Linked DNA regions of Danio rerio. The protein of the gene in region 1 interacts with the protein of each later gene in a biochemical or structural test. Links are inferred from orthologs where the notes say so. Each region holds a gene or a part of one and is shown on either strand. Other genes may lie near its edges.

Region 1 (4,577 bases):
TACAAAGTGATTTTGTGGTGAACACCACACACAGCACTTACTGGTAGAGAAGCCTGTCCTCTTGTGGCAGCGAGTGAACTCTATGTTGAAGTAGGTTACCAGAGCATGAATGTAGTCGTTTCTTTTCACCTGCAGGCAGAAAGGTGACGTGAAGGACAGGTCCTCAATCTTCACGGTGTAGATGTCCACCTCCTAAGGAATCAAGAAAACGTATTGAATATTAAATGAGGAAAGCAGGGATTATGTGAACATTGGAAAATAAAAGGTTGCAAACAAACCTTAATTAAGCAAGCAGTGCTAACAAGCTGTTTGGGATCAACAACATCCACCAGCGGCTCTGTAATGGCCACTTCCTTAATACAGGACATGTCAAATCCATACACGTTCTCCCACCCTAAAAAAGTGCAAATATGAAACAATTAAATGAGTTACTGCTTTAAAGAAAGCTGAACAGACTCAAGAGTGCATTAAGAGATTGATGCGTACAGTGGATTTTGTAATCCTTGTACTGCCGATCCTCGATAGCAGTGACATAGAGGGTGGCTCTGTCAGGAAAAATCAGGCCATCAGGTTTCTGAAAGCCAACAATGGAAAACGTGAACAGTGATTAAATCAAGAAAGCACATACGATTTTATACTGAACAGTTTCAACATGGTAAAAGACATTAGCATACACCCACCAGCCATTTGTCCCTGGCATAAATGACGGTGTTAAGCATGGATTCATAGAAGAGACAGTAGCCCATCCACTCAGAGATGATTATGTCTACATTTTCCACAGGAAGCTCGACCTCCTCCACTTTGCCCTTAATTATAGTGACGACTGGACAGGAAAAAGTACATGGTTAAAAATTTTAGGTACATAAAGAATAAAATGGGTATAGGCCAAAACTGTTAATCCAAAACTGAAAATGGTCATTGTTTAACCTCCCCTCACTCATTCTAAACCTGTGATTTTCTTCTGTTGAACACAAAAGATGATATTTTGAAGAAAGATGCAAACCTGTCACTACGGTTACCAGTTTACAGCTTTCTTCAAAATATCTTCTTTGGTGTTCAACAGGAAAAAAAGAAACTGATAGGTTTAGAACCACTTGAGAGGGAGTAAAACTTCATTTTTGGGTGAACTATCCCTTGAAACATGCTGAGAAAATAAGTTAACAATGAAGATGCCAAAAGCTCTGAGAAGGCCTTACTATGATCCAGCTTGTTGGCCTTCACAATCTTCACAGCATAGTCTGATATACTGCTGCACTCAATCTAAGGAATAAATGACCAACAAATTAATAAATTAATCTGACAATACACAGCATGATCAAATAATACCACATACAAATAAATGGCTTAAATGTAACAAAAATGCTTTAAATAAATCATGGGACTACTTCTCACCCCAATAACTTTCTTGGCTCCAGCTTTGGCTGCAAACATACAGAGGATGCCAGTACCACTTCCCACATCCAGCACAACTTTATCTTTGAAGAGATGCTTGTTGTGAAACATGGAGTTTCTGTACGTCAAAGTACGAACTTCATCTTTTAGCATCTCCTGTGAAGATTCAATGGGTTTACATTAATTATAAATAAATTAAATTGACTTCACCACTAATGCTGAGATTAATGAACTAACAAGAAAGTACCTCATGAATGCCAAAGTGTGCATAGGAATCAAAGTAATAGTCTTTGGACGTCATGTCTTCAGCTGCAGGTTTCGCTGAGCTCTCTCCCTGGGACACCTCAATTTCAATAGATAAGAAAAATGTAAATAAGCAAGTAAAGTCATGAGCTGGGCTTTTCTCAAACATTTGCAGTATCTTCAGTATATTAAAACAAACAAGCAAGCAATAAGGTACTAGTCAAGAGATGACCCAAAACATGTTTAAACCAAACATGCCAAGTGTAAATAACCCTGAGTAAACAGTGTTTTTACACAGAACTACATAAAGTCGGTGGCTTCCTCTGAATTTAGTTCCAACTTTTGGCAAATATCACAGCAGGCAATGAACCATTTTACACATTTTTTTTTAAAATGGATAGTTAAGCAAAAAAAGTCATATTTTATCTTCACACGCCTAACGTTAACCTTTGAAGAGTCCTCTTAAGCTTAAATTTTTCTACTTTTTAATTATACACATTTGAGGAAAAGTGGTCTAAAAGAAAACTTAGTCACGACGCAAGTACTAGATCATAGTAAACAATACAGGATGTTTTATTAAAAAACCCAATCACTGTGATTAGCAGAGAGGAAAAAAAAGCGTAACGTTAGCTCCTATCCATCAGTCCCATGCGGTCTCTGCCCAACAATAAGTCATTGAAGTCCTCCGCCAGCGTGCTCACGTGGAAACTGAACAGCGAGCTAACGGTAGCTAACATGACAGAAATATTCATACATTTAATCTCAAAATTCATCTGTGGTTACACTCAACAACTAAAAACTCGAAGCTAGCTCAAATTTAGCACATTAGCACTAGCATACACGTGATGCGAAATGAATGAATTATCTGCGGCAGGCTAAAATGGATGCTCAAGATGCGTGTGCGCACATTTCTAGCCACCTGATAACTACATACGCAGCAATCAAATCTGTTCACAGACCAAAGATTCGGAACCGGCGTGTGACGTAAATAAAATCGCCGTGTCGATTCTGATACGGTTACGAGATATTTAGCATCAGAAGCGTTTTTGGCGAACCGGCCTTGAGTAGCTTCAGCTTACCTCCATTCTGTCTGCCGTCTCCGCCATTTCGATAAACTGGACACAGCCGCGACTGCAGCAAAGCTCATGTAAAACACACTTGTTTTGCTCCCGCCTCTTTGCTGTGACTGTATGATTTGATTGGGTGACAATCACGTGGTTTTACAATAACCACACCCACTTTCCTGCGGCTCTTCGTCATAGGCTTTTCTACTATGCGTTTTTCCGCTCTTTTGATGCGTGACTGTCATTGGTCCAAACTGTAACATGATTATTATTTATTTATTTTATCTCAAATATTATTTTACAGAATTTTACTGTGAATCCAACATTTATTATTTTGGGTTGTAGATACAAATTTAATGTCTGCTTCACAATAAACCCTATTCTATTTTTATGTAAATTTTATATTCATTTATTCGTTTTCCTTCTGCTTAGTCCCTTTATTAATCCGGGGTCGCCACAACGGAATGAACCGCCAACTTATCCAGCAAGTTTTTACGCAGCAAATGCCCTTCCAGCTGCAACCCATCTCTGGGAAACATCCACACATGCATTCACACACGCACTCACACACTATGGACAATTTAGCCTACCCAATTCACCTGCACCGCATGTCTTTAGACTCTGGGGGAAACCGGAGCACCCGGAGGAAACCCACGCAAACGCAGGGAGAACATGCAAACTCCACACAGAAACGCCAACTGAGCCAAGGCTCGAACCAGCGACCCAGCAACCTTCTTGCTGTGAGGCGACAGCACTACCTACTGCGCCACTGCTTCGCCCTGCCTATATTTTATATTTATAAATAAAATTTTCAAATATAAAATCCACTTGTGTATTTTATACAAGAGATCAAAATTTACTTACAATTCCAGATTCACTTAACAAGAATGCACTCAAAACGTAAACAATTTGCACAACATGTGTAATCTATTAAATATCCCAATCTTTGTTATCTTTTTTATTTTGCCCTTTTTATTTTCAATTTCATTATCTGTTGCATCTATTCTCAGATTAGATAACCTATTGATATCATATTTCTTTGTTTTGATTTCTGTTGTTTTTTGTTCTTGTGTTGTTTCTTTATTGGTACCATTGTAAATAATATAATTATTATTGTAAATGTTATGTACCAAATGTATCTATATGTTGTACAATAAATATGAAAAAATATTTTATTTTGCACAAGTTTCTGTATTCCATTTTATTTCTGTTTATGGAACACAGTGGCTTAGTGGTTAGCACTGTCGTCTCACAGTAAGAAGGTCGCTGGTTTGAGCCCCAGCTGGGTCAGTTGGCATTTCTGTGTGAAGCTTGCATGTTCTCCCTGTGTTGGCGTTGGTTTCCTCCTGGTGTTCCGGTTTCCCCCATAGACCAAAGCCATGTGTTATAGGTGGATTGAATAAATTAAATTGGTGTAGTGTATGAGTGTGAATGAGTGTGTATGGATGTTTCCTGGTACTAGGTTGCAGCTGGAAGGGCATCCGCTGTATAAAACATATGTTGGATAAGTTGGCGGTTCATTCTGCTGTGGCGTCCCCTGATGAATAAAGGGACTAAGATGAAGGAGAATGAATGAATTATGGTTTCATTGTTTTCATGTAAATTTTATTAGTTGGACTTTTGTCAAGCTAATAGAAAAGCTTACAAAATCTTTTTAGGAAACCATCCTTTAGTCATGTGTTTTGTTCACAAAATAAACTATATGGTTATAATTATACAAAGTAAGCAAAGTTTGCAAAGTAAGCACATTTCTAAAAAAAAGAAGGCATTGATAAAATAGGAGACAATAATGATTATTTACAAAACAACATCTGGAGAAAATGGATGTTTGTACATTATCATACTATGGGATTTAGCTCAGATTAAGACCAATGTCCT
Region 2 (4,397 bases), on another chromosome or scaffold:
TGATTAAACTATATACAAAAATGATTTTAGACAATGTTTGACTGCCATAATTAATTACATTTTGAAATAAGCTGTATATTGAGATGTGATGGAATTGATATTTGTTCAGTTCACCATGAAAAAATGTTTCTCTTCTTATCTAAGTTGGTCCTCTTACAGATCGTAAAACTAGACAAACTGTTTAAACTTATGTGGCTATGTTACGATAATTTTTAACCATTTTTTTACTCAACTTTACAAGGCTAAAAGTGCCAGTAGTTGAAGAAATGGCCCAAATACACTTCCTGAGGCCAAAGACTATAGCTAGAGAGTTTTTTTTTTTTGTTTTTTTTTTACAAATGTAAGTTTATAGATATGAGGGGAATAAACCCAGAATAGACTTAAAAACAAAGATATGCCTTGAGCCTACGAGTGGACAACACAATGATGAGTGAGGGATTTAAGATAAGACTAAGATTTATTTAAGATACATTTTATAAGATTTCTTTAACTGTACCTATACATTACCTAAATGTACACTCATACATTTGTATTCATTTAAGTTAGAAAATATATTTCATTTAATTTGAATTGCATCTTTACACCCAATTAGTTGAGTTATTAAATAAATAACCAAAAAATAAATAAATAAATAACCCAACAAGGCACCAAGCATTTAACCCAACTAGTTGAGTTATTCATGAATGATTAAATAAAGGTTAAATATAACCCAACTAAGTACTAAAAATTTTTAACTCAACAATTGGGTTAAATAAATAACTCAACTTTTTTTAGAGAGCAGTCATCCAGTTTGTAAGACCCGGATAAAATCTTAAAATCATACTTCACCTGTATACCTTGAAAGACAATGGAATAATATAAGGGAACTTTTTACAATATGGAATAAACCGATGGTGGCACAGTGGCTGTAGCGCTGTCCCTTCACAGCAAAAAGGTCGCTGGTTCGAGTCCCGGTTGGGTCAGTTCTGGAGTTTGCATGTTCTCCCCGTGTTCCCTGTGGGTTTCCTCCGGGTGGTCGAGTTTGAGTGTGTATATTGATGTTTCCCTGTACTGGGTTGCAGCTGGAAGGGCATCCGCTGTGTATTAATTTAAGCAGAAAACTAGCCTATATTAGATTGTATTAGTAGTGTTGTTGATTTTATCGTTAGTCCTCACCATTTAGTAGCAAATAGCCGAAAAGTCTCTGGGAATTGAACTGAAAGGGCTCATGAAGGCAGCAGATTCATGATTGTAGCTGCAATGTTTCCCGCTAGATGGCGAAACAACGAGTAAAATCACGACTTTTTTTCAAGTGCATTGTGGGTAAAGACGTTCGACGCACATGTGGCCACCTGATCAGTGCAGCAGTAGACCGGAGGAAAAGCGGGTCTGAGTTAACGCCAGCTATTCGTACAGTTAAAACAACCGCACAAAATAAGATAAAATGAGACCAGGTAAGTTATGTACACATTTCGATTTTAAAAGCTAAAGTCAACGCTATAAAATATAATCCAAGTAACGCTGTTTATAAGTGTTGGTTTAGAGTTAGCCGGATGAGTTAGCCACGCACTTGCAGTTTTGTGAAAGAAACGCTCGTTCTCTTTAAATGTCATGGCATTGTTATTTAATTTATTACAAGCTTTGGTGTAGAATTGTTAAAAAGTGATTTTGTTGTAAATAACGTTATTTTTGTACATGTAAATAACGTTACACATGTTACAACGCTGCACGTGCGTGCGACCGAGCCATGCTGTTACACGCGGTGCTGAAGCCCCACATGGCTTTTAACTAGTTAGAGATAATAACCAGTTTGCTTTTGTTTCTGAAACTAGTTGTCTAGTTAATGTGTTTTATTTTAAATGGTGAGTTTTGTGTAACTTTATTCAACTTTTTGTACATTTGAGTTTGTGCGTTGTCGAGTTATTAGAAGTAACGTTAGAGGAATACACGTTTTTTCCTCTTGTACAATAAGTAGTTTTGTTGTTGTGGATGAACAAAGACATAAATACACCCAAAACAGAATGTATTTTGAGCGAGATGTAACTGTTGTTTGTTGTGTGGTCTCCAAAAGTGGGGTATATTCACATGGACTTGAGGTAAAGTTAGTTTTACATTCACACACAGGGACTTTCTCAAAAATATTATTTGCAAATTCTAAATAATGAAATCATTTTAGCAGCGAGTGACTATCAAAGTACAATATTGCTCACAGTTAAATGCGTAGTGCTTGTGTTATTTACAGTCAAATACAGTGTCAATGTATTCGAGTCATACTTGCTTGTAATTTCAGACCGAATATTAAAAGTACAAACGTTATAGTAAACAATATAGGAAACATGTCACAAGTTGTCACTGAATGAATGTGTGAATATAAACTTTTTCAATCATTTAACCCTCTTAATGCTGTCATTTAGCGCTCTAATATCATGACATTCGACTTCTTATTTGCCAAGAGAAGGGTTATTTTGTATTTATGAAACATCAACTAAAACCATGTTGTCTGAACAGCAGCTGTTCATTGAGTGAATGCAGAAAAGGTTTTTGCAATTATTTTTTATATTAAATATTAAAGATAGACTAAATTTTTTAATATGGATTTAATTGATTTTATATGGATTAAAGTTTTTATATGGATTCTGACTAAACTTTTATATTTTTTACGAAACGTTTTTGACACCTAATAGTAATTCATTCTAAAATGACACGAAATGAAAAGTAACTTCTTTTAATTGGTTCTGTACCAAATATATATGCTACAAATGTAACCATTAAAAAAAGTTAATATTTTGAGGCTTTTTAAGCATTTGGAAAGTTTTAGCTTTTTACAAAATGAATGTTTTGTTTTTGTATGTCTTCAGGCCCAAATGTGGTTACTAATGGATTTCATAAATTTGTGTGAATGCAATTTTGATTTATTAAAAGTTTCCATAAATGCAGTACAGCAGACTTGTTTTTGGTACTTCGGACAGTGCAAAGTTAAAAATGTGCTCTACCATACCACCCGGTGAAAACAAGAAACTATAAAAAATGTTTTTCTGGTTATTGTAAGGAGTCACTTGCAACTTTAAACTGGTTTAGTAATAGTATGATCCACAAATGCGTTTTTTCTCCTTTTCTTTTAAATGTTTTGCTCTTTCCCTTCATCAAAGTAATATTTCTCTTCAGGATTCAGCCCAAGGGGAGGTGGTGGTCGTGGAGGATTTGGTGGAAGGGGACGAGGCGGAGGAGACCGCGGAGGAAGAGGAGGATTTCGAGGAGGCAGGGGTGGTTTTGGTAAGCAGGATATTAAAGCAGTTTTATTTTACTCCCATATATATATATATATTGCATGTGCCTTATGGCTTTTTTTAAAAAAGAATTTAAAAGTGATTTTAAATGTGTAGAAAATCGTATTACATTTTAGCAAAGTGTATTTTATAAAAAAACAGTACTCTGGCTTAATTTATAAAATGATGAATGATTTTACAATTATACTACATATTAAATGATTATTTCCTTCGCACTAACAATGGTTTGAAAGATAGATAGATAAATAGAGCGTGGATATTAAGCATTGAACGCATCACCATTTTTTTTTTTTTGGAAAATGTATTTCTAAAGGTGCTGTTGACTTGAATCTTTCCCTGGATGTTAGTAACAAGCAAAAAATCCATATATGTAAAACAAATCTAATTAGTTTACAAATTAGGTTATGCCAAATAAAATGAAGTGAGCAGGGAAAAAGTATTGAACACATGAAGAAAGGGAACCACAGTGAAAGCCCAGGCAGCAGTTGAAATCTCTCAGTAGTTCTTCAGCAACCCTCTGCCCTTCCTCATTGTAAATTAATATTAGCTGCTTTAGTCTAAAATCTACATTATCAAGTAGGGTTGGGTTGATAGATGATGCCATCATCCATTGTCGATGACCGATAGACATCACAATCCTCCACCCCTGTCGCAAATCTGCTCGCAAAAAATACACACTCAGGCCCCGTTTACAAATGGCATTTTAGAACGAAAACGATCCATGTAAACTGGCGTTTCATCTAGCGCTTCCACATTATACCCCTGAAAACGCACATAACATGACCACAAACACACACAAGCACACTCTGTCATGCGCTGCAGTGTAGGCTATACACGCGTCTTAACGCTGAGCTCCAGCAGTCACCCCCAGAGAGCAGTGCACATCGGACAGTTTATCAAGGATGTAGCATTGGATCTTGTCTCGCTATAGTTGTTAAATGTGATGTTTATTTAGTCCTGTCTCTAATCTAACGACTCTTCGGTCTTTTGAATCTATCAGGTAACGTGTCACAGCATCAGTACACTGCTTCAATCTTTTGCTTTCATGCTTGTAATTTTAGCGAAAACCTCAGATACTGTTGGTTAGTTGCTGTTGGTTGTGCACCTTTTTTACCAACCAAGTTTGTCGAC

Evidence for each region.
Region 2: of the proteins of prmt1 (region 1) and fbl, one has a biochemical effect on the other in vitro, tested with the Homo sapiens proteins (2 studies listed by BioGRID). The link is inferred for Danio rerio from reciprocal best matches to the Homo sapiens genes PRMT1 and FBL.

What each region holds. Positions count from the first base shown.
Region 1 is NC_133178.1:31,171,952-31,176,528, forward strand, and holds the start of prmt1 (protein arginine N-methyltransferase 1), read right to left. Parts: upstream 2,833-4,577; 5' UTR 2,742-2,832; coding exon 2,715-2,741; intron 1,736-2,714; coding exon 1,640-1,735; intron 1,549-1,639; coding exon 1,393-1,548; intron 1,261-1,392; coding exon 1,197-1,260; intron 824-1,196; coding exon 681-823; intron 575-680; coding exon 487-574; intron 395-486; coding exon 279-394; intron 193-278; coding exon 42-192; intron 1-41. UniProt on the Homo sapiens protein: Arginine methyltransferase that methylates (mono and asymmetric dimethylation) the guanidino nitrogens of arginyl residues present in proteins such as ESR1, histone H2, H3 and H4, FMR1, ILF3, HNRNPA1, HNRNPD, NFATC2IP, SUPT5H, TAF15, EWS, HABP4, SERBP1, RBM15, FOXO1, CHTOP, MAP3K5/ASK1, MICU1 and NPRL2.
Region 2 is NC_133191.1:46,605,980-46,610,376, reverse strand, and holds the start of fbl (rRNA 2'-O-methyltransferase fibrillarin), read left to right. Parts: upstream 1-1,331; 5' UTR 1,332-1,423; coding exon 1,424-1,433; intron 1,434-3,144; coding exon 3,145-3,252; intron 3,253-4,397.